Linked DNA regions of Bombyx mori. The protein of the gene in region 1 binds, or shares a complex with, the protein of each later gene. Links are inferred from orthologs where the notes say so. Each region holds a gene or a part of one and is shown in the gene's direction. Other genes may lie near its edges. The genes, in order: cytoplasmic dynein 1 intermediate chain and dynein molecular motor protein light chain 1.

Evidence for each region.
Region 2: the proteins of cytoplasmic dynein 1 intermediate chain (region 1) and dynein molecular motor protein light chain 1 are in contact, whole or in part, in a crystal structure (PDB 3FM7), measured with the Drosophila melanogaster proteins. The link is inferred for Bombyx mori from reciprocal best matches to the Drosophila melanogaster genes sw and Dlc90F. Residues at the interface, in NP_477075.2 of Drosophila melanogaster: Asn109, Leu110, Ser111, Val112, Tyr113, Asn114, Val115, Gln116, Ala117, Thr118, Asn119, Ile120, Pro121, Pro122, Lys123, Glu124; in NP_477356.1 of Drosophila melanogaster: Gly72, Ala73, Gly74, Leu75, His76, Thr77, Ala78, Ser79, Ser80, Cys81, Tyr82, Trp83, Asn84, Asn85, Ser90, Cys91, Thr92, Arg94, Tyr101, Ile103, Phe107.

Annotation. Positions count from the first base shown.
Region 1 is NC_085115.1:15,808,333-15,821,411, reverse strand, and holds part of cytoplasmic dynein 1 intermediate chain, read left to right. Parts: intron 1-683; coding exon 684-704; intron 705-1,463; coding exon 1,464-1,511; intron 1,512-8,104; coding exon 8,105-8,275; intron 8,276-8,948; coding exon 8,949-9,108; intron 9,109-13,079. UniProt on the Drosophila melanogaster protein: Acts as one of several non-catalytic accessory components of the cytoplasmic dynein 1 complex that are thought to be involved in linking dynein to cargos and to adapter proteins that regulate dynein function.
Region 2 is NC_085113.1:8,148,056-8,161,353, forward strand, and holds dynein molecular motor protein light chain 1, read left to right. Parts: upstream 1-6,691; 5' UTR 6,692-6,792; coding exon 6,793-6,828; intron 6,829-6,901; coding exon 6,902-7,067; intron 7,068-8,401; coding exon 8,402-8,550; 3' UTR 8,551-8,770; downstream 8,771-13,298. Other genes in the region: palmitoyltransferase ZDHHC2, read right to left, coding at 3,762-3,868, 4,348-4,469, 4,541-4,706. UniProt on the Drosophila melanogaster protein: Acts as one of several non-catalytic accessory components of the cytoplasmic dynein complex that are thought to be involved in linking dynein to cargos and to adapter proteins that regulate dynein function.

The DNA of each region.
Region 1 (13,079 bases):
ACTGAATCGCACGGGGAATTGTATGAATACTGTTAAATTACATGTAATTTAAATAAAATATAGTATGTAAATAAACATAAATAGGTACGCAGCGACGTGTTCAAAATATTTGCGTCGGTCGTTGCAAGGTTCTTTTTCTCATATCGATGGTCTAAACTAAGCCGACTTTAGTCTATTTTTAAAAGCCATTAAAAGTTAAAGTAAAACTGTACATTTGTCCTTGTAATCGAACAGAAACAATTTAAAAAGATGACATATAAATGTATAAGATTATTTGGCCGTAGCGAATTCGATTATTAGACTATCTATAGAGAAAAAAAACGTACTTTAGTTAATAAATTACATGAATAAATAAATAGGTACCTTTTTAGTTTTTGTGCTGGGTCCATAGAAATAGGGTATGCACTTTTTACTTGGAAGGGTAAAAGGCCTTATTTTTAAGGACCTTTTTCATAGGATAGTCACGCAGCGTGAAAAATATAACTAATAACATTTTAGTAATTATATTTTATACGGAAGATGTTCTCATAAAATCTCTTCATAGGCATTTCGCGGCTCTAGATATGCTTCGATACACTGCACGCCATTTTACTGTATAGAAGTTAACCGATATTTTTAATGAAACAGATTTTGCAGAAAGCATTTAACTGACGGCATATATGTTTATTTTGTTCCCCTTCTAGCGCACGCAACCGATTATTACGGTAAGTTATTATTCCTCCAGGACGCTTGAAACTCGTAATCTCTCCTAACCAACATCTCACATACGAATTCATTAACTCGGGTGTCGGTTTTTTATTTACATTACAACATTAATATCCTATTACTTGTAAATATTCGGTTCTTCCTGTCACACCTCTGGTTTATTTTCATACTAACACATTGTATAGATGCGCTGCAGGTAACTTGATAAACTCTATCATTTGATTCACGCTTTATCAAGCAATCTGATTTCCGGGGGGTGATGTGATGATTAGAAGCGTCATCGTGTCATGTTGAAATGCCCATGCATTATTACTGTGGCCTTCCAGAGTTCTCCACGTGGTACAAAACGATATTGTTTAATTATAATTATAATGGCCGCATAACGAATTAAATATGAAATAATCATATTTGTATGTTGACTATGGTGGTAGTATGGGTTGCCATATCATTTCACGCTGACTTACCCTTTCGATTCGATTAACAAACACTGCACAGGTCTTCACCAACGGACTCTCGTAGCGCCAAACTAGAACTTATTATTATATATTTAGAGAACAGTTTTCGAGTTTTCGATTTTAATTTTGTTAAGTTTGTCGCTGCGAATTCCAAAAATATAGGTCATGCTGTAAAATATATAAGCACTCTTGCTATGTATAAAATTTTAATACAAATAATATTATTATTACAATTTTTTTATATATATAAAATGGTCAAAATATACTGACATTGTTTTTTTTGTTTTTCCTCCCCTTTTCAAGACGAGTACAATCTAAACCCGGGTTTAGAGTGGGAGGACGAGTTCACAGGTAGGTTCCAAATCCGAATCATACAAACATTCATTCAAAACTAAAAATATAATATTTATATCCTTATTAGAGCCTGTGCCTACTTACTACACTGCATGGTTTTCCTTGTGTTGTTTTTCTTACTCACTATTACTGTACGTATTTAACAGCTATTTATTATCGAACGCTAACTATACATTCGTTAACTAAGCACATAAATTTTTCAGTCAATTTTGTGAAATATACAATCTAAAAAAAAACCTCCGAAGTTACGTAAAATCATCAGCCTGTATATGAAACAAACTTGCCAGCTCGGTGATGAGTAATTAAAAAAATTATTAAAACATAGACTATCTGCACGTAACATAAATAAAAACATTTGCATGTGACAGAAACAATACAAATATGCATGAACCTAAGTCACCAACATACAGCTAAATATATTATATTATGTATCTTTGTTTTTTTTTTTCAACTGTGAGACTTATCTCTCTTGTGGAGAGCTCGGGAAGTTTTTTAATTTTGGCATTATATTTCCCTTTTTATTTTTACAAACGCTTTCTGTCACCGTCGTACTTAACGCTTCTATTAAAGATGTGTGAGCTGCGCTTAGTCGTTTCAATTGGATAATATAATAAATATGATTGATCGTAGTCAAATACTTTAAAATGCTATCAGTTTCAAAAGAAAATGATGTTGGGTCGCCATCAAATCACAGAATAACGATTGTCACGATTCGATCTTGATATCTGAACGGGGTTTAGTTGGTTAGTACTAACCAATCAAGCCGGTCCACATTATTAATAATAGTAATAACTAAAGATAAAATCGTGGTAATCAATATGTGTCATATTCAGTGAAATATCCTTGAAAACTGAATGCATCCACAGAGAATATTGTTACAGTAATATGGTATATTTTTCTTACATTCATGCTCACGATAAAAAGAAGATATAAAATATGAGTTTAACGGCCTGGCCACGGGGATCGGCGGTGCGAACAGCGAAGCGGTGGGCGAGGCGACCATTCGCGCAGCACCGTTTGCAGGCCACGGGTACTCACGTTCGCCGCCGCGACTAGTAAGGAAGTCCGACAGCGAAATGTCTATATCGAAATTATCTCGATATTGCTTACAAATTAATAGTTTTTTGGTTCAGGACCTATTATTTGGAAAAGATTGTGAAGTACATGATTTGAATAAGAATCGGAGTATACCTATAGATGGAGAATTCCACAAGAAGTACGAGAAATACTTTGGGTGGCTAGACTTCCAAATAGCTGGTCTAGCTAGTATTTCAGCTATTTTATTTTTTTATTGCTTAGATGGGTGGACGAGCTCACAGCCCACCTTGTGTTAAGTGGTTACTGGAGCCCATAGACATCCACAACGTAAATGCGCCACCCACCTTGAGATATAAGTTCTAAGGTCTCAAGTATAGTTATAATGGCTGCCTCACCCTTCAAACCGAAACGCATTACTACTTCACGGCAGAAATAGGCAGGGTGGTAGTACCCACCCGTGTAGACTCACAAGAGGTCCTACCACCAGTAATTACGCAAATTATTATTTTGAAGATTTCATTTTTATCACACGATGTTATTCCTTCACCGTGGAAATCAATCGTGAACGTTGAGTGTTGTTGAGTACGTATTTCATTACAAAAATTGGTACCCGCCTGATATTCGAACACCGGTGCATCGCTCAACACGATTGCACCGGACGTCCGTTAGGCCACGACGACTTTAAAAATATAAAATAAAAAATAAATAAAAAATATAAAAATTTCGGCGTTAATTTTTCGCGGCGAAAACAACTAAACTCATTTAATCACTGCACTATTCGCCGCGACTACCGCTCGACTCCGTGGCTCGCGCCGTCCGTATTCATGCATTTGTTTTGCTCGCCCGCCGCATCGCGCGATTCGCTCGGTACATTTCGCCGGTCGCTTCGCCGGTCGCCGGTGCGCGTGGCTTGTTAGGTACATTTCTATGCGCTTGTTTTAGTCGCTAGACGCTTCGCCGTTCGCACCGCGCGAATATTCGCATCGGCGAATGTCCCGTGGCCAGGCTGTAACGGTTGGTACGTTCAATGTTCGTGCATGGTGCAGCTTGGGTATCATCACATTAAAAACCCTATAAATTATGGTTCATTTTGCTTGAGAGTACCTGATTTATTAAAATAATAAACTCAGAAATATCTGGTAACACTAACTGAAATTCTTACAACTGTGATGGTGCTAGGTCGTAATGTGAGCACGCAGAGGTAGGTATCGTTCCGTCAATATCTGCCATTAACCAGCCATGAGTTTTAGTTGGGATTATGAGACGGGTATTATACAATATAATTAAACCTTCAACTTGGTGTCTCAAAGTGAGTGACCGTATTCTCGTAGTAATGTCTATAGCCTCCAATAAACTTGGGGGATGGGACACTGGGTGCTCATCACTGGCTCTGCCTGAGTTAATGATCGTTATTTATTCAATTCTTCGATTTCGGCTTATTAGATCTCACCAGGACCGACAGCATTGCCTTAAAATCTTCTTTTTCACAATTGGTTCCCTTACACTCACCACGCTACATTAAAAGATTGATTTCAGAATATCCTTCTGATTCCATTGCAGTACAGGTAATCCTCATATAACGCGGTATTTTACAACACGGTTCCACTGTTACATGAAAACAAAATTTCTCAAAAACCCTCTATATATAACACGGTACTTGAACAACACAATATCATGATCTTCCCATGGACACAACGCACTGAGTTTCTCGCCGGATCTTCTCAGTGGGTCGCGATTCGATCCGGTTGTAGATTCTGCGAAGCACTGCTCTTGCTAAGGCTTAGTGTTAACAATTTCTCTCAGGTTGAGCCCGTGAGCTCACCTACCCGTCCGGGCGTATCTGGAATAGCTCCCTTAGGGTACCAGCGAATAAGTGGGGGAAAAAATAAGATTTTTGTTTAAAATAATTTAGATAATGACATTCGATAGAATTGAATTTGAAAATTACTGAATAATCGAAATTTTACTGTTTATTTTTTATGTATAATAGGTAAAAATATACATACAGGCATCATAGTGGAAATGTTTCATTCTGAAAAATGTGTATTAGCTTCTATTTTCATATAACACGGTTTCGCACAACACGGGACTTGGTAGGAACGTATCTAGCGTGTTATAGGAGGGTTACCTACATTTGAATCTGAATGCTAACGAACATATCTATGTACTATCAGTACGTAACGCGAATTGTCGTTCACTAGTGCTCACAGTTCTTGGCTGTAGGTTGCAGGAACTCCATTTACTAATCAGCCAGTGCAAAATGATTCGTATGTCGCTTACACCCATATCTTTAGATATTCCTCAAATTTTCCTCCACTCTAACTCATCCGAGGACGCCTCGAGAAATCCAAACCATACTCGAGTTTGGTATCTTTAGTCGACCATTACAATATTCCTCAAATCTACTGTTTTTTGGTTTGTTTACTCTACTCCGGTGAGGAAATCTTTCGAGGGGCATTTGAGTGGAGGCTATTTTTACGATCAAGCATACCAAAATTACACTCAGGGTGTTCGCTCAACGAGACTAATAAAAACGTACAACTACGTAACGTGAGCAAATTTTTGAACAAATTTATATTTTAGATTCATTTACACATATTGCTGTAACTCTGTTCTCGCTTTAGTTATTAGAAAATTAATCCGTACGCTTCTCGACCATTTGATTTTAAACGTTGTCATTTGTCCGCACGCGTCTCGGGATATTTAATTTGTTGTCGAATTAATACGCAATATTTAATGGGAAAACAAGTAAAGAAAGAGTAAATGTTAGTTGTTAATATTTGCTGTACACTTTGATGCTATTACAAATGTAACAGAGATATAATTTTTGCACTAGAAGATTGCACAAAGTGGGAATGAGTTGCTCGCTCCGGGCATTTCAATATTGTAGTAATTGTTACGTTATAATACTCATTGTAAAAATTTCATATTTAAAAAAAACCTAATATAAAAAAAAAACATATTAAAAAAAAAGACATGCCCGCTGAGTTTCTTGCCAATTCTTCTCAGGACGGAGGCTAGTTCTTGTGAATTGGCGGTAGTTCTTTTGACGTTCAACAAGTATGTACTTTCATTTATGTTGAATAAAAAATATATTTTTTGATTTGATTAAGTAATGTATTTTGAATAACATTTTCGAAAATCATAGTAATTATGAAAAAAAAAAATCTCTCACTTTTAATAACTTAGGTTGGGCGTCGATACCGGACCAATCTGAGAACAAAGTTCGATTTCTTTTCGAAAAATTGGAACATGTCTAATTTGGACTTAGACAAATGATGACGTTAAATCTTCCATCATAGACTACGCTTTTGTTATGTCAGCAAAGTATTTATAAATAAGATGAACTTTAATTGACTTGTTGCTTCAATTACCATTTTCTTCTTAAAAAGATGAATTGAAACTGCTTTCGTGTTGTATTTTTTTCTTTCCGAAAGTGATTTCAATTCGCTTTTGTTTCATTGCAATATCATGCTGGATGTAAGGGAACCGTTCGCGAAGCTGAAACTTTAAATTGTAGATATTATCTAAACGTGAAAAGTATTAGCATAGATACTAGTGGTTTTAGAGAGTTTGTTTACGAACAGCCAATCCTAAGTTAATGCAGTTGACGAACGCTCTGCGTCACACTGGAAAGTTCATTCCGCGTATAGTTGTTGCGAAGTACGACTGCGCGCCGCCTTAGTTGTGTGAGTGACCTATTTGTATACGCGTGAATGTAGGCTATATGTAGCTTTTTTTTCCTACCTATGCTGATAGCCTTGAGAGGCAGCACTTGGAGAAGGCGACACGACATGAGAACCTGGTCACTTGTCGTGACCCCTGGAAATTACATGCTCGATCCTGCAGATCGAATGGTAAACAGTCGACGTCGCCTAAAACACGTCATTACGGATCCTCCTGATCCATTAACGGTGCTTTTAGGTACCACAAGCACCAGTCACCGTCCTCGTCGAACCCGTCGCTTGCAACGAAGGGCTCGACGAGCGAATTAACCTACAGACACAGACTCAATTTTTTTATTCCTACTTATGCAGATAGCCTTGAGAAGCTATTTCAGCTTCACCCTAACGTGTAGGTGAGCTCACGGAGCTCAAACCAGAGTTGCTAACACTGGCCCTAGCAAGAGCAGCGTTTCGCAGAATATACCACCGGATCGGAAACGCGGTCCACTGAGAAGATCCGGCGAGAAACTCAGTGGGCTGTGTCTGTGGGTTAATTGACTCGTCGAGCCCTTCGTTGCAAGCGACGGGTTCGGCGAGAACGATGACCGGATATGTAGCTAAAGCTGTCTGCTGACCGCTCCATCGGGTACACATACTAACGAAAATGTGTATTTACGATTGCAACTACAAATAAAGGCCACGCGCGCTCGTACTCTGCAACAACTATATCAATTGTGTTACTACAACAGGTCTTTCAAGTATTACGTAATCAAACGAACTAACAAAATAAATAAATAAATCGCTCGAAATTTTGACAGCATCATAAAAATTAACATGAACCTTGATTCGAAAAATATTCGTTACAAACCATCGTGCTAAGACCGGAATTCCCCAATTTGAATGTCGGTTAATGTAATAAAACTAGGTAGATAATATATAGTAATGTACAAAAGAGAAAAGTTTTGTTTTCAGAAGAAATAAAAAGCGTTTGGATTTTTTTATACCTTTAATTGGCTGTTTCAATATGTTTTTATTCTATTCTATTATGTTAGACTTAAGCTGTTGGTCCTCCTTGTAACAATTAAGTAATATAATATACCCCCCAAAACAAATAAGAAAATAGACCTCACCTCTTAAGCTTTGCTTACAAAAACTTGAACGCACCCTAAGTGCTGGTAAAAAAGATCGCTGCATTTAGAATCACCACTGGTTGTCTACATTGGGAACGGTTCCAATGCATCCTATAAAATTATCATTAAAATGTTTGGTAACACATGAGCAGTGTGGCCCAGCCTCTCATTCCAGAACTGGCTTAGTCGATCATTTCGTAAAAAGTTACTAATCGACACAAGCTTTTAATTCAAACAAAACGTAGGAATATAATATTAAAAACGTCAAATACATTTGCTCATATGTTACTGAAACGCCATCACTATTAGATCAGCATCGGTAGCCATGACACCTGTAGCTAGGTTACATAATCATGCACATTAGTCATGTCAGTATTACACATTATAACATAAAGGTAATTTCATGAAGTCACAATTAAACAAATTGAAAAACTTTAATGTACCTAATTATAACAAACCTTCATGAAGTTATCGCGCGTAACGTACAGCTTGCATAAAAATAATATGTATTTTTCGTCTAAATTCGAGTCGACTATTTTTGATAATTAAAACGACCGTGCAATGACGATAATTTGCCAACTATCAAAAGTCACAGATTACCTATTATTATTAGTGCTCAATTTCGCGTCAATATTTTTATTGTTGGTATAAGCGGATCTTTCTAATAAGAAAATTCCGTAGAAAATAAATCAAGCTGTATGTTAAACACACACGCACACCACACGCTCGTCGAGGGCCATTCTTATTCACCGTCCAGTGCTTACATTCGACGGCGACGTGGCGCGCCAAGGAGACGACGAGGAGGCCGCCTTCCACGGTAAACTGCCCCCGGGGATACTGCCGCACGGCCTGCCCACCGTCAAGGAGGTCCAACCCGCAGTCACCGATGCGCCCGTCGAGAAGAAAGACGAAGAGAAAGAGAAGAAAGGTTGGTGTATCTTGCTTTTTTATTGCCCTCGTAGGCAGACGAGCATACGACCCACTTGATGGTGAGTGGTTACTGAAGCCCATGGACTTTAGCAATGCCAGGAGCAGAGCCAAGCCGCTGCCTATAACTATGTGCCAAAGATCAAATAAGCAAGACTGGGCAAGACAAATGTATCGCGCGGCCTTATGATAAATACGTATCATTACGTATATCAATTGTGCAGAAGCATTGAAAAAGGCAATCACCGAAAACCGATACAGAATATATTCATGAACTGTATATATTAGTATCAGTTTCACGAAAATGATGTTAAAGATCAACGCATTACATAGTTGACAGTATCATATTATTTGCATTGATACATTATTATTTGTTGTCTGAAAACCGCTCATACCGCTCAAACCCCTGTTTGCTAGGCATATCGAGGGGTGTAAGACTACTTGATTTAAGCGACATTTTAGCAATTTTACACGAGATCCATTTAAAGTTTAAAATTTGAAAAAACATCATAACAAAAATACTTCAGTTATTTGAATGCGGTAAACTTAATTGGAGTACCACATAAACCGGACCTTTAATTGCAAAGATAAATATTGCGTATTAAGCGAAATATCGCTTAAACCAAACAGCATTAGGTTTGTTTTTGAATTTTCCTCTCGTATTGGCATCTCAGCGGTGCGCGAGCTGAGCGCTGACGAGAAGCAGACGATAATGCTGTCGGCCGAGTTCCAGAGGTTCATGAGTCGCGCCGGACGAGTCATCGAACGCGCGCTCGCCGAGTCCGTCGACATCTACACCGACTACACGGGCGGGGGCGACGGAGAGAACGCTCTGTGAGTTCCGCTCATTACTCAACCCTTAGGCCTCATTCGCACGGGAGTTTTTTTTAGCGCGCCTTAAAAAAGCGTTCAAATAGAACAGATGCATTTCCTAGTATGTGTTCATACATCAGCGCTTTTAAAATGCGACGCTTTTTTTTATCGCGCAGTGTTTCATTTTGAGCGCTAATCGTTGGGCGTTACAGATTACGTCACATCGAGAACGTTATAAAAGCGCCAACGCCGAGTTTTAACGCAACGTTTTTAAAATACCCGTGCGAATGAGGGCTTTAGGAGGAACTTCATAACCTGTGTGTTTAGTGCCCCTAGTGGCAAACGTAGATAGATATCACTAAAATAAGACATACGAAAAATGTTTAAAATAGAGAAAGAACCTTAGATAAAGCAGTTTACGGCGCAATTAGTCCCGTTGTCTTTGAACACTGAATAATGTCGTAATAGGCTAATTTATTGATGGTGTTTTTTTAAGTTTCTAGATAGATACAAATAGAGTCGATCAAAAAATATAAATTTAAAATCGAATGAAACATGGATGTCAATAAGGTGTTGTTATGTCTATTTTAAACAGAGAGCAAACCATTGCACGATATAATGTGCAGTATCATGCGCGAATGCCTTATACAAATTTTATGCCTGTAGTAAATTTGTAAACTTCTACCATGATTCAAAGTATTTGGCAGCTTTCAGGCTTCAGTGTTCATTGGCTCCGGTAACTAATAAATACCAAATAGACTATAAAACTACCCACCTATGCCCACTTAGAACAATCATTTTCAAAGTCGTCGTGGCCTAAGCTATAAGACGTCCGGTGCATTCGTGTTGAGCGATGCAGCGGTGTTCGAATCTCAGGCGGGTACCAATTTTTCTAATGAAATACGTACTCAACAAATGTTCACGATTGACTTCCACGGTGAAGGAATAACATCGTGTAATAAAAATCAAACCCGCAAAATTATAATTTGCGTAATTACTGGTGGTAGGTCCTCTTGTGAGTCCGCGCGGGTAGGTACCACCACCCTGCCTATTTCTGCCGTGAAGCAGTAATGCGTTTCGGTTGAAGAGTGGGGCAGCCGTTGTAACTATAATGAGACCCTTAGAACTTATATCTCAAGGTGGGTGGCGCATTTACGTTGTAGATGTCTATGGGCTCCAGTAACCACTTAAGACCATGTGGGCTGTGAGCTCGTCCACCCATCTAAGCAATAAAAAAAAAATATTTTAATAAAAACTAGTACCCATCTAAATTGGATTTTTAAAGAGGATTCATATTTAATTATTTTCGTTAAGCTGCTTTCAGACTACGTTATACTATAGTACCATATAGTATAGCAGCCTATACATAGCCAATAATATATAGTACAGTACAGTTTGAACGTGTCCATAACAATGTATGGTGCGCGATATTGTTGTGCTATGAGCTATATACTATGCGATATTATATTATTATTATTTTTTTTTTTTATTGCTCTTGTAGGCAGACGAGCATACGGCCCACCTGATGGTGAGTGGTTACCGTCGCCCATGGACTTCAGCAATGCCAGGGGCAGAGCCAAGCCGCTGCCTACCGCTTAATACTCTCCACAAGCCTCGTTTGAAGAAGGACATGTCATAGCGCTCGGGAAACACCGTGGAGGGGAGCTCATTCCATAGCCGGATGGTACGTGGCAAAAAAGACCTCTGGAAACGCACTGTGGATGACCGCAGTGGCTCCAGGTAGTATGGATGAACTCTACTCCGGTGGCGGGCGGTGCGATGGTAAAAACGAGATGCCGGTATCATCTCGAACAATTCCTCAGAGCACTCCCCGTGGAACATACGGTACAGAATACAGAGGGAACCGAAGTCCCTCCGCAGACCCAGAGGCTCCAAACGATCCGTGAGAATGGGATTATCGACAATCCGAACGGCCCTCTTCTGTATGGAGTCAAATGGAAGAAGCTGATATTTGGGAGCCCCGGCCCAAAGATGGGAGCAGTACTCCACGCGAGGCCGGACTTGTGCTTTATAAAGCAAAAGTCTTTGTCCAGGCGTGAAGTACCGCTTTGCTCTGTTGAGGACTCCCAGCATTTTGGACGCCAACTTGGCTTTGCCTTCCAAATGACTCCGAAACTGGACATCGCTCGAAATGTCGACCCCAAGTATCCCGATACTCTCGGAAGGTTGCAGGGATACTCCTTGGAATTGCGGCGCCATGACAAAAGGGTCCTTCTTCGCAGTGAACGCGCAAACTTGTGTCTTTATCGGGTTGAATTGAACCAAGTTCAATTCACCCCATTCGGAGACTCGCCCCAGAGAGTTCTCCACTTCAGACACAAGTTTTGATCGTCTCTCTTGCACCGCGCTCCGAGAGAGACTCTGATGGCCGATATATCGCGCATCCCCCGTGCCGTCATCCGCATAGCAATGCATGCCATCAATAGACAGCATGTCATTGATATACAGGATGAAAAGCGTGGGGGAGAGCACCGAACCTTGTGGAACGCCAGCGTTAATGGTCATGGTATCAGAGCAGTCACCGTCTACAACGACCGTGATGCTCCGCCCATCCAAAAAGCTAGCGATCCACTTGCAGAGTCCCTCGGGGATTCCGTAAGATGGTAGCTTCGATAGAAGTGCCCTATGCCAGACCCTGTCGAAGGCCTTCGCGATATCAAGGCTCACAGCAAGAGCCTCGCCCTTGCTCTCCAAGGCTTCAGCCCACCTGTGAGTAAGGTATACAAGAAGATCGCCAGCTGAGCGACCGTGACGGAAACCGTACTGTCGGTCACTGATCAGCTGGCGATCCTCAAGATACTTCAGGAGTTGTGTATTTATTATTCGCTCCATCACCTTGGAAAGCAAGGAAGTTATCGCGATAGGCCTATAGCTCGACGGGTCCGACCGGTCACCCTTCTTGGGGATAGGGTGGACGTGGGCGGTCTTCCATGAAGACGGAACCCTGTTAGCGCAATAAGAGAGGCGATACAAACGCGTTAGCGCAGGTGTCAGCTCAGGGGCGCACGTTTTCAGAACCACTGCGGGGATGCCGTCTGGCCCACTCGACTTATGGACGTCCAGGAGTCGGAGCTCCCGCCTAACTGCACACTGTGTGAAGCAGATATCCGGCAGGGAGCTATCACACCGGGGGATGTTCGGTGGTGTGGCACCCCCGTCGTCCACAGTCGAGTTCGAGGCGAAGAGTTTGACCAGAAGGTCAGCCTTCTCTTTCGCGCTGTGGGCCAGAGTGTCATCGGACTTGCGCAGTGGTGGGAGACTAGACCTACAAAAGTTTCCTTCTGCAGCTTTGGCGAGCGACCAAAAAGCACGGCTCCCGGAGGGATAGCTCTTTAATCGCTCGCCAACTCTAGCAACGTGCTCCGCCTTCGCCTTGGCAATTACCTTCTTGTAGGACCTGGAAGCGGCGTTATATTTCCGCCTTTCCCCTGAGTTGTTAGGATCCCGACGTCTCCTGGCATTATCCCATGCCACGTATGCGGACCGCTTGAGGTGTGCAGCATCCCTACTGGCATTGTTATACCAGGGTCTGCTGCGACCCCCAACGGGCACTTCAGAGGAGGGAATAAACAATTCCATCCCCCGGAGCACCACGTCTTTAAGACGGTCCGCACAGACGTCAGGATCAGCAGAGGAAAAGCAGAACCGCCCCCATGGGTAGGATGCGTAAAATTCACGCAATCCATCCCAATCTGCTGACATATACCGCCAAACTCTACGATACCCGGTTGTCGTTCGACGACCAGGACGAGAGAGTGGTACGGCAGCACGAATAAGGCAGTGATCAGACGATCCAAGCGGAGCGTCGACCACCACACTGTATCCGGCCGGATCCGTGGTCAGCAGAAGGTCCAACAAAGAAGGTTCGTGCCCCTCGATATCTGGGACACGGGTGGGCTGTGTCACCAGCTGGGAGAAGCCGTAGGCCAAGGCGAAATCGTAGGCAGTCCGACCCGGGAGGTCAGTGGTTC
Region 2 (13,298 bases), on another chromosome or scaffold:
TGAAAAGACATATCCGAACTTTTCGGAAAGATAACTTTAATGCGCCATTTGCTGAAGCATTCCGGCTGCGCTCTAAAGATTTATCGTGATGAAGCACTTGTTCTTACTAGAATAACCTATAGAAAAATAAAAAGTTTCATTGATGAGGAGGGTTAACTGGGTCGGGGCTCATAATGAGAGGGGTGAGAGCTACGGTCGGGGAGTGGAACGTGGTCCTTCGACTAGATTGCGAAAGAAATGATTCAACAAGAATCCTCGCAAGATGAGTACGGGATTTGCCGGCACGCCAATGTCGTATTATTGGGATACCAACTACATATAGGTATCGTGATATCGAAGAGGAGGGTTTCTGTTGAACCCTGATAGAAAGCGTTCCATGAGGCGGTGGTGCACTTTTCGAACAAGTATTTGGAGCGGAAGGTGTTTGTACCAAAAATTAGCATTACAGCTTTTAAAAAACATTACAGCTACCTTTAATCTCTATATATAAAAATGAATTACTGTTCGTTAGTCTCGCTAACACTCGAGAACGGCTGGACCGATTTGGCTAATTTTGGTCATGAATTATTTGTGGAAGTCCAGAGAAGGTTTAAAAGGTAGATAAATATGAAAATGCTCGGAATTAAATAAAAATAACAATTTTGTTTTCATCAAATTCCTTTGATGTGTCTCCCGTCGGACGGATTCCTTTTGTTTGTTTTAAGTTTATTTTATACAAAACTTTAGGTCTTTTATTTATAGATTGAGGTAATACGAAGTCTGCCGGGTCAGCTAGTCTTTAATAAAAATTAGTAATTAATTATTGTGTTAGAACATTGTTTAAATACTGCCATTACAACTAGACTCCCATGTTTCCATTATTTTATACATATTTATCGCTAAAATAAACAAAAAAAAAGATAATTCAACTCGAGATTCCAATACTAGTTACCAGAATATCAAACTTACAATGTGACTAAATAAAATATACATCTCAATTCTAGATCTACAGAATTTTGATGAATATCAGACCTCGTTAAAACTGGTAGAGTATTAGCAAATGTTTCTAAGATAGTTTTTTTGCTTTCCGCTTTAAATAGACGCTTGCTGAATTTCCTTATCGTCATTGTCAATCTAGAATTGAGAGACAGATGTTTTAATGGATGTGCGATGTTGGCTTAGAATGGCATAACCTAATCCCGTGTTTTTGTAATTTCGTTTTATTGCCTAGATGTGTGGACGAGCTCACAGCCCACCTGGTGTTAAGTGGTTACTGGAACCCATAGACATCTACAACGTAGATGCGCCACACACCTTGAGATATAAGTTCTAAGGTCTCAGTATAGTGTCGTAAAAGTCAAGTAAGGGATTCACAATGGAGAAAGAGCAGCAGAGTATTATTGCAGGATACTACGATCGGTAATACTTGCTGTATGCGCTGTATTGTAAAATTTGCACCACCATCCTGCTTATATCGTGCCTTCAAGCCGCGAAGGCCCGGAGAGCTGTTATAGAATAAAACTAAGACCTCGGCCGTCATCTCTCTCAGTCGTTCACTATGGGTCCGGTTACAGCTTTACATCAGGTAGAACGTGAAATAGTTCAACGCATATATTTTTTAAAAAGCGTATGTTAGTGGCAATTCGTACTACCGAGACGGCAGACGTTTTTCAGAACCTTCGATTCGCCTCGAAGGCTCCGTCGGCCGGGCGTCCTTGGGGTGAGTGAGGATGTAGTGTTGACCACGGTAACTACTTTATCTCATCCGGGTTCTGACCTCGGAGGGGATTGGACGCTTGGACGAAGAGCGCAGGGGAGTCGTTTGGTAGGTAGGGTCCTAAAGCATTCTTGGGACCGCGGTTTGCAAACGCGGACCAGACCCACATACTCCGCGCGTCCCCTAGGCGCAGAGACCTCGAAGGAGGTTCGGCAATGCGTACATATGTACATTGAATTGCAATACATGTAGCTATGTAGTGTTAAATATATTTCTTAATGCTAAATAAATTGTCTTATTTCAAATACTATAGTTTAAATGACTCACACTGTTGACCTTAAATATTGTGGTTTTGAGTTTCATTTAATATATTATCACAGACAATCAAAGATTAATTTATCGTTTTTGATAATAAATTATTATTAATATTTTCTTGTGTGAAATCTCAAAATCAGAAAGTTTATTTATAAGTTTTTGTAACATTCAATTTGCTAATTGAAAATAAAAATAAATTCTTCCAAAAAATCTCTCTTGTGTTTATGTAAGGGCAATAATCTAAAGTAATCCTATAACAGAAGGTCTAGTAAAAGAAATGGCAAAATATAGTTAAAAACTGTGTCTCACAAGCTTCAACTATCCAATGTCACCGTTTCAGAGTAACTTAAAACTTGATGATGCCCTTGTAGGGAGTAGGCAAGTACTCACACACTCAATGCAGCTCCACATCGTATGAGGCCTACGTCATATCACCTGACTCTTGGGCCCAGTGGCCAGTATTTTTGTTAATTCGTTTTTGTATATAACCATGTGTTGTTATTATTTTCATTCAGTGTGCTTTGCAAAATTCGCCTGACAAATACAAATATTAAACCTCACCATTGATTATCTTCTGTACACTGCTTCACATCAGATCTATTTTGAATACTATATAAAACAGAAAACTGAAAGTGGCAGAAGGCCTTAGTACAACCAGCCATTTCAGACCCTAGCTAGTTGGTGCAATAACCTCCAAACGGTGGCCAGCAAGAGGTCGATGAGGAGAACGGAAGACCGGGCTCATTGGTGTGGATTGGGAGAAGCCTATGTCCAGCAGTCGACAACTTAGTCGGACATAGTCCAAAATTATAAAATATAGTATTAATTTTGTAATAAGGAATTACTGTTTATGTCCAAATAAATATACAACAAAAATATTGAAATCATTTTGAAAATGGTGAGATAGTTTATATTGTTGTTTTTTTTACCAGTTTTCTGACCACAGCTTTGTACTCATAGTCACAGATATCTAGATACGCAGTCAAAGCCACATGCTCATTGGATAAAAGGTCAGATAAAAATAATTCTAAGAATGAGTATGTACTTAAGGTTATAATTTCTTAAGTATTCCTTCACTATTTTTATTGCTTTTCAACAATACAGAGACACACTGGGTTCCTTTGCTTAATTAAATATATTCATTCTGGGCTAATCTATATAATTCAACGCAAAATGCTTCCTTAACTTTAACATCATTATAATATACAATACTCCAGAATGAATTAACAACACAAGATGTAATTGCCTTTAAAATTCAAACTAAAACAACATAAGCCCTTAATCTCTTTTAAAATTAATATTTTAAACAGTTTTTTTATACTATGCAAAACTGAACTACCCTCTTCACTGAATGACAGACAATGAGTGATTCTGTCTAAGTTTTTTTTTTAAACTATATAGTTTTTAAGTTTTTAAGGTAAATCATAAAGGTTTTTCTTTACATGTATGTATAATAATTATGGTTAAATTAATCAATTTCTAACTATTTTCCATAGTTCAATAGATGGAAGGGATAAAGTCCCCTATTAGTACCATACTACTGACCACACAATGCCTTGTTTATATATAAAATTGCCAAATGTATCTGCAGATAAAGTTATTTATCAACCTAAACCAATCAGGCTTACGTTCAGTTTAACTTTCAGATGTGAGAGGTTAACATCCTAATTATGGTTTACAGTAGTTTAATGGTTTATGCGTGGGTTAAATAAACTGAGTAACAATCAGCCAGACTAAAACAATGAATTACCTTGTAACAATTGGCAAATCCTTAGCAAAGTTTTCAAGAATTGTTCTTTGTGAATCTTCAGATTCTGCACTCAACATTTTCTCTAGTTCTGCTTCAGGCAGCTTGTACTAAAATTTATTACATGAAAATGATATTTATTTTGTTTAACTTTAGGTATTAATTTCTTTCACAAACAAGTATTATCTTAATTTATTTGTTCATATATTTGATGACTCAGATTCGTTTTTTTACATGGTTTGGTATGTGAATCTTGGTTTATAATTGTAATTATAATTTGTAATTGTAATCTAGTTTGTATATCTGCACTTGTCCTCTGTGGCATCATCAGTGCATACTACATCTACTACATCAGTGTGGAAGAACTGAGGAAATTGTTTATGCATACCAAATACGTACTTAAGATCTTTCATTTAATGTGTAAGTATAGAAGCTTATTTCATATGATTGTGTTAAATAAACATTCAATCATGAGGACGACTTGCACTTGAGGCTAAATATTTTTTTTTACCATAATTTCAACTAAACAGAATGAAAATTTTGTATATGCGATAATGTTTGGAAATTTCCATTAATAAAGAATACTTACTTTTTCAGGGATTGGTTCTATCTCTGCAAAAATTGTTTTCCAGTAAGACCAGACGAACATTATTAGGAGTATGTGGTACAGCACCAAATAAATCCATTGTTGGACTGTGCTTTGTATTGTAACTGTAATATAATTAAGTCTAATGATTTACTATTAATTAAGTGTAAAGTTGGTAATAGTCTTAAACACTTACAAATACAGAGTTGAATAACGTAGGCATAGTATGACCAAGTTATTATAGACACTATGAATGACACTGGAAGCCATTTGAATCCTTTCCAACACCACATGTTGCACGTTCGACAACAGGCACAATAACCAGGTGATGAAATCCTACTATTCTGTACTGATGAAGCCATTTCGATTACATTAATAAATCAAATTGAAAATAATCCATGTTCACCTAAAAAAGAGACAATAAAAAGTGACGACACTGACGGTTGACTGAGTGACATTTCCATTTTGTAAAACGTCAATTTAATCTTTGCATAGAATATAAAAATATAAGTTAATTGGGATGCCATTGCAACGGCTGCCTTACCCTTCAAACCAAAAACCATTACTGCTTCACGGCAGAAATAGGCAGGGTGGTGGTATCTACCCGCGCGGACTCACAAGAGGTCCTACCACCTTACTAGTGGAGGACCTCTTGTGAGTCCATCCATATTAGTGTTATTAATGTGAGAGTATTTCTTTGTTATATTTTCACATCAAATAACTCTGAATTGTTTGGGGTCAGGAATTCGCACTACTTTTTCCTACGTGATGGTGACGATAGGCTGAGTGTTTTAGTGTTAGTTTAGCCTTTAAGATCTTCGCCAACAGAGTCCTACATATCCTGTGCACCCGCTGACGCAGGAAACTTGTAGGAGAATCATACCCCAGCTTGAAAAAAATATCTCTGTTACCGTCAAATTTTAAAGCACATTTCTTATCCACTACTTTTTCCTGCAAACTAATTCAATAATTTGCGATTCCATATTCAGATTTATAAGAGATGGCGGCACTGGTTCTTAATACCAAATCCAGGATAGATTTTATTGTAATGCAGCATGTAGGTAGTAGATCGTAATTTTATAGCATATATGACGCATGACGTATTAAAATGTAATATATACTTCTTACTTGTTCTTACCAGTTCTTACTTGAAACTATCAGTCATAAGTTGATGTCATTGTCAATCTGTTTTATTATCGTTTTTTAGTGTTTTTGTCAATGTATCTAATGTAACTAAAATAAATTTTACTGTTAATTTTAGCTTATTAAGACCTTATTCATTAAAGGTTTCTCCTATTAAAGCGATTTTTACTATTTAATAATTCTTAAAAAGGTAAGTATTATTATATTATATTTAATTTCTGTAAATTTATTTGCGTGTATTATTTTACGCCGTACGTGAATGTTTTTGAATATTTCAGGAAGTTTTAGATTTTGTTCTCAAAATAAAGTTATAAGAAAAAATGTAACGGGTTTTTGTACACATCAAAAATAGCGTATAACTATTTTAGCGATATGGTTTTAAGGTTTTTTACTTCAAAACTCATTATGAAAGAATCACGATGAAATACACTGATACATAATAGTCGAATAATTGGCATTGATGATGGATATTGGCTATAAACCGAGCACCACTAGATCTTGACCAGTCCTGGTGAAACTGGAAAGGCCTCCGGGCCACCAGTAATCCTTCAATCATAAAAAAAAAAATCTTGACCATAGTGCCAAGTACCTATCTATTAACTTATGTGTATTATTATATGGACTTTTTGGCGGGAAAGCGAGGTGTCAAGTTGTGCGATTTGTTTTATTTTGTCTATTTAGTGTTTCTTCAGGCTTAAATGTGTAATAATGGTGGTTTATTAACTGTTTAGTATTTGTGAAAGTGCACAAATGTGGGAAAATGAAACAAAGCCGTTGGACGTAACTTCTCGGGATCCTCCAAAAAGTCCACTGAAAAAATCTCAGTAAACGACCACCATTTTAATGAGATTATATTTCATCCCATATCATCTCATCTCATTTCATTTAATTGCATCCCAGTTGATTAATGTCTCAAATTCTTCATTTTATTTCACTCCATATTAACATGTTTCATTAAAGTATCCCATATAATATAATCTCATTTCATTTATATTTTTATTTATTTCATGCCATGCCATGTTTCATATTAAATTAATCAGCTTCATTTCATTTCATAATATCATATTTCATAAAAAATATATATATAAAAGATTAGGCAGTATGGTGTAATACTTTTGTCTTTCCATTTGGAAAAATAAAACTACTACTACGACTATCTATGGTATTAACAAAAAAAATATTTATGGTATTATCTATGCCGATGGCCAAATTGTTTAGTTTGTCGAACTTCTTTGGTTTCGAAATTCAAACAGAAATTTCATTTTGATAACGTTCAATACTTACTACCTATCTTGAAACAAAATAATGGAAGTCAAAGAATGCAACGATTTGGACGAAGAAGTAATAATAGTCATTTGTGTGTATTAGTTGGTAAATATTGATTCAACAAACTTACCAACATGGTGTATTTCAGAACCAATTCATTGTCGACGACGTGAGTAAAATAATTAAAGAAGCTATAGAAAATTCAATTGGAGGCACTGCTTATCAACACAACAATGTCAACCAATGGACTTCAGCAGTTGTTGAGTCATGTCTGGGGCAGTTGACTAAGTTACAAAAACCATACAAATATGTAGGTACGTGCGTTGAGAATCTAGATTATTTTAAGTAACACAGCATGCATAAAATAAAAAATCATTTATTTTAGGGTCCCTTGTATAAGCTCTCTTAGCAAAAATAAAAAACAATGTTTAAAATTGTATTTTTTTATTGCAAATGAACCTTGAATTATGGAGTTTGCAAGACTCATTTGCATGACTTTTGGAGCTATCACACTGGAATTAATGCTTGCTTTTATTGTGATAGCTAATCTGACCATCAGGAAGAGAGAGACTTATTACATCATTAATAAAGTAATAGCTTAAGGAGAGTGGAGCAGTATACTTGCATCTTTTATGCTATAATTGAACAAACTGTTATTTAGAATTTTCCAGTATTTTGTACAGCATTTAATAATTCAAATTGAAATACATAATTACAAAATTGTAATATTAATGCCTTAAAGGAGCACTATTTGTCGATTTAGTATTAGTTATACATATTTCATTATATATGTATGTGTATAATGAAATATGTATATGTTATTTATGTGTGTAATTGTGTATGTATATAGTCTGATATATTATATATTAGTTTTTTTATATTATTGTTGTTATTGTGTATTGTATCAATAAGTAAATTGATTAGATTGTACTCTTCTACCCACTTATGTAAAGCTCTCCCTCTTTAAGAACGGTTAGCTGGTAGATAAATCAATTGTTTAGTTAGGCTCGCCATTTTATAACTTTTCGCAATTATTGTATAGTATTAATTGTATGTACAATAAACACTAAAAGTATTTACACTATTTGGAGTAATTTGGAAGACTGGCTTCTAAAATGTTGAGCATCTATAAGGAGCTAATTGAACTTCAAATCTCCACAAAAGCTTATAAAGCACAATTCTTTTTTTTTTATTGCCCTTGTAGGCAGATGATCATACGACCCACCTAATGGCGAGTGGTTACCGTAGCCCGTCGATTTTAGCAATGCTAGGGGCAGAGCCAAGTCGCTGCTTATCATTAAGTATTCTCCACAAGATTCGTTTGAAGAGGAGCTCATTCAAAGCTGGATAGTACGTGGCCATAAAGAGCTGGAAACGCACTGTGGATGATGCTGCGATTCCAGGTAGAATGGATGGCTGTGCCCCTGGCATTGCTGATGTCTATCAGTGATATTGTTCACTATCATGTGGGCCGTGTGATTGTTTGCCCACAAAGGCATTAAAAATTTAGAGAATTACCAATACACAAATATATTGGTAATTTGAATAAATGAATTTTCTATTTTATAAGATAAAAGTTAAACCTCTAATGAAGAAAAGCTAAAATGTGTAAATTTACTTTTATCCAATATTTGCTTGTTTTTTACAGTGACCTGCACAATACTGCAGAAGAATGGTGCAGGACTGCATACAAGTTCTTCTTGTTATTGGGATAACACTACTGATGGCTCATGCACGGTCCGTTGGGAGAATAAAACTATGTACTGCATTGTCTCAGTCTTTGGGCTTGGCATATAACATGGATTTATTATATTCATTTACTGGCTTAAAATCTCTTTTATAATACTAATAAAGCAAATTTTTAGTATACTGATAACATAATTATCAAATCTGTATGTTTTATTATGAACTCTTATGTTTCAATTAATAAATAAAGCTTTTATTTTACACTAAATGGAAAAGTATGCTATGTCATTTTCCAGTATATATGCATAGAGAAATAAAGTGTTAATAAACAGATAAGTTTGTTCATTTATGGACAAAAACTTTGGGAGAACAAAGAACTTTGTACCTAAACAACAAAACCTAAGAAAGTAAAAACTGGTTTCATTGAATCTTCGATTTGATGTATATAATTTGTATGCGTTTTCTTGGATGTAGTCTTGTTTTGCATTCCACTGAATATAAATACTGAAAATTCTATTCAAAAGTACAAATTGTGTAAGAGGGAAATTGGAGCATGGTGGTCTCTTACGAAATATATTTTGAGGCTGTTAATTTTACTAGAAAAATCTCAGATTATCTAATAAAAGGCTTCTGTTAGGGCACAACATTGTCACATACATTTATCAGGAAAAGAGATTTCACTTCGAGATGTTTAGGTGCCGAACATGAGGAGTATTGGTTATATTGAGGTGTGTTTGATTACAGGAGCTTTCTGAGAAGGCCCATTGAGCGATTATAAAGAAACCAGTATCATGCGTGATTCCATAAAGAAAACGTTGATCTGAATTTTTTTATATTGCTGAATGAATATAAAACACTATCAGCTTCTTTTTTTTTACTTTTATTGCATAAATGAGTGAACGAGTTGACGACCCACAGTTGCTCACTTTGTAATAAAATTGAGGTCTTAAAATTTTTGTTGACACGAGTAGGTACCTACCTACTTTAGAACAGTGCCGTTACATTTAACATATTATTATGGAACGTTTACCTAACATTGGTAACCCATCAGAAACCCACGGTAGATACGTTCCTACAAACTCCGATGTTATGCAAAACTCGTGTTATTTAAGATAAGATGACTACAAAAAGGAGAGGATTTTTCTAAATAAAACATTCTATACCTGTATATATATTTTAATCTATTATACATAAAAAATAAGCTTACTGTAATTTTCTAAATAATTTTAAATAGAAGTCTCATTATATAATATTGGGTATTGGGGATTTTTTTTTCCGTAAAATACCTACCTTGCGATATCTGGGTTACCTGTACCTCCTGTCTTCTTACAAATTAAATGAAAGGTACCTATATAGCGTTTCGTAGCAAAAAAAACCGGCTGATTGAAATATATACTCATCAGTGCTTTCTTGCACTATTTTATACCAATGAACAAGGCCTGATCTCATGGAAGAAAACTAAACTTTTTTATGCCCTAAATATTTTACAAGTACTGTTCACCGTTCCTAAATACTGAATTGAAATAAAAACGTGGTCCCTATTCAAGATCCTCCATCGTTCTGTTCGAAAAGTGGCAAGACAATGTTCAATGAACTGACAAAATACAATTGTATAAAATTTTACAATAATTATCAGAAAAACAGTTAATAATACTGCATTGTATGCAGAGCATAGTAACTTACTATTTGTGTAGATTGAGCATTGTAAACCAAACAAAACGTAGGAAAGGTATCATGAAAAAATCATGAAGAAATAAAATTACCGATCGAAGGTGATCATCAAATGATGACTTCGTTTATTTAACGATGAGCAGCAAAACCGGCTTTCCAGAATCTCAATACAAAGTAATTTAAATGACGGGTTCCACAATATTCACAACTACATAGTGTAGTCTAGATCTAGTGAATCATATCTAGTGTAATTAACATTACGTAATAGATTTTTTGTGGGTATGTTCCCGGAGATAAAATTTTACTTAAATCATGAATTTTTTCAAACGTTCCCGCTAAAGCTCCTTGGCATATTTGTATCACGTGACCATCATCGATCCAATGGTTGAACGCTTCTCGGGTCCATTCAACTCAACTTTGCGAGCTCCGTGGAGTGGCGTGGAGAGGGCAACTTCACAATTCCGATTCTATTCATAAAAGGAAATGTTTTTATATTGCTGTCTCTCTTACTCATGTAAAAAATTGTAGTGTTTGAGTGAAGTAGCAATATGTTTGATTGGAAATTATTGAAAGCTGGGCCAGGCAGGCCACTTCAGACCAGTCGCCATGTAAATTTTTTTGATGTGGGTGTTGTGTCTCGGCACGTCAAATGCTTCAATGAATTTTATTATTCTCAAAAGAACATTGATTTCGTGTAAATCGTTATATTATTTGTAAATTCGTGCTCATTCTTAGTCCATATTGTGAACAGTGAAACATATTGTGTTGTGATTGTGTACCATCTAATCTGGTGACGGCGGGTAATAGATTGGAGGGGGAGCTGCTAAAATACTACGATAGGATAGTAGAGACGTTTTACTACTCGGGAAGTCGGGAGCGCTAAGCGCTTACAAAATTTCTCATCTCGACGCGAGCGATTACGGTCTTCCATTTTGTTTTAATATGCAGTTTGGTTGTTTACGGTGTGCATCGTGTACAGAGCAATTGCAAGCCACGGTGAGTACTCGGTGAAGTGTTCGCATTGTAAATACGTTGTCTGCGCATGTAGGCCTTACATGACAATAAACATGCAACAATGAATAAGTAATAGTTTGGTAATAGTATTCGATTTTGTGCACCGCACGGCGCAGTCGTGGTAGATGGGTTGCGGCACGTCATTATTTAGGAGAAGCACCCCCGCGGGTATGCTCAGTGGTACGTAAACATCGTTCATCAAACACAAGGTGAATTAATTTTGTATCATTTTAAATTGTAGTTGATAATCATGCGGTGATACTGTGAAGTGTAAATTTAATAAACACGTTACAAGTCTCATTTTAGTAATCTATCAGTATTATTATCAGCTGATTACTCTAAGCGGCCGTCCGCAAACGTCAATGTTATGTATTCAATCACAGGCTACTTGAATACTAGAGTACATCTAGAATAAAATTCTCTTGTGTGGATATTGATCTTGCCTAGGTGAGTACACGACTTTTGTAACTTGTGTATTTACCTAATCATTGCATATACAGGTGTCAATAATTTTAATTACAATATTTCTAAATTGGTTTTATAATTAATTTTATTAGCTCAAAAAACAGTAGTAGTTTAATCTAAAATAAATAAATTCTAAAAATAAAACTAACCTTAAGAATTCTAAAGCTTAAAAGTACTTTAATCTAAAGCATTTTCTTAAAGCATCTTAGAAGAGTATTATTGTTTTTTGGTATTGTGTAATTTCTATGAAAATAATGAAATAAAACTAAAACCTTCATCACTCAATAATAAGTTAGTCTAATGTTCTAAATGATATTAAATAAAAAATTTGATTGATTTTGAAATTTACATAATATGCACATTGAGATTACAAGATTTGTCTTCAATAACAGTTGTCTTTAGTGATAAACAAAAAAAAATCCAGTAATTCAACTCAGACCTTAGTCGAATGTACTGAAAACTTCCTTTTCATCTATTTGCTGTGACTTAAATATTGTCTTAAACTAGCTAGCACAATTTACCTTCAATTTCAATGGTGTCAATGGAGGTAGGACCTCATGTGAGTCCACACAGACGGGTACCATCACCCCGCCCAGTTCTGCCGTGAAGCAGTAATGCATTTTGGTTTGAAGGGCTGGGCAGCCATTGTCACTATATTGAAACCATAGAACTTATATCTCAAGCTAGGTGGCGCATTTATGTTGTAAATGTCTAGGGGCTCCAGTATCCACTTAACACCAGGTGGGCTGTGAGCTCGTCCACACATCTAAGCAATAAAAAAAAAACTTATAATCAGAAATTTGATAATGTAGAAAACGAGAGTCATCCTCTTTTGTTATATGAAATCTGGAAAAACTGCTCAGAAAAGAATGAGTATATCAATTTTCTCTAAAAACAAATACAGACTAATGGAGAATATTCAAATTTGAAATCATAGTTTTTTTATTAATAATATTGACGCTTGAAAGGCAAACGTGACTAAGCGACAATGCATGAACTTTACAGTAGACTAATTTAAAGTTGAAATACCTGATAACAAATTTTATTTTCACGAATCTAGCTGTAGTAGAATCTAGCTAGTAGGATTGAAATGATTTTAATAGACCTAGAAATATATATTTTTTGCGCATCGAATATGGTTATTGCCTATCATTTATGTACAAAGCAGTTATTGTCGCTAAGTCACGTTTGCCTTTCAAGCGTCGATATGATTTAAGTAAAATTTTAATAGAAAAATGTATAGAAAGTGTTGGAGTATACCTGTTCACATTACACATAATAATACACATTAGATATACTTAGTATTTCAAAATTTCTCAAGATATTTATTTATAATTGACATACTTAATTTTGAAAACGATGGTTGTTTTAGCAAAAATATTTATAAACATGGTAACCAGTGCTTATCAGTCCATAGACATCATAACTTGAATGCCAATGCTAATAGATTATTTTGTATTATCAGAAAATGCATCATATTTTCCTTTAAAATAATATTAGAACAATCTTATTGCTTACCTAGTGAATTTTAGGATAAACTAGAGTCCCAATAAATTTTTATTAACCTGAAACATTTTAGTAAATACAAGGCATTTGATTATTGTTTAAGATCCTTCTAGGCTTTTACTTTTGTAATTCTCTACCTAACTACTCAGGAGATCTCATGGACTACCTGGTATCAAGGTATTCAAAGGTCTTAAGTGGATCTT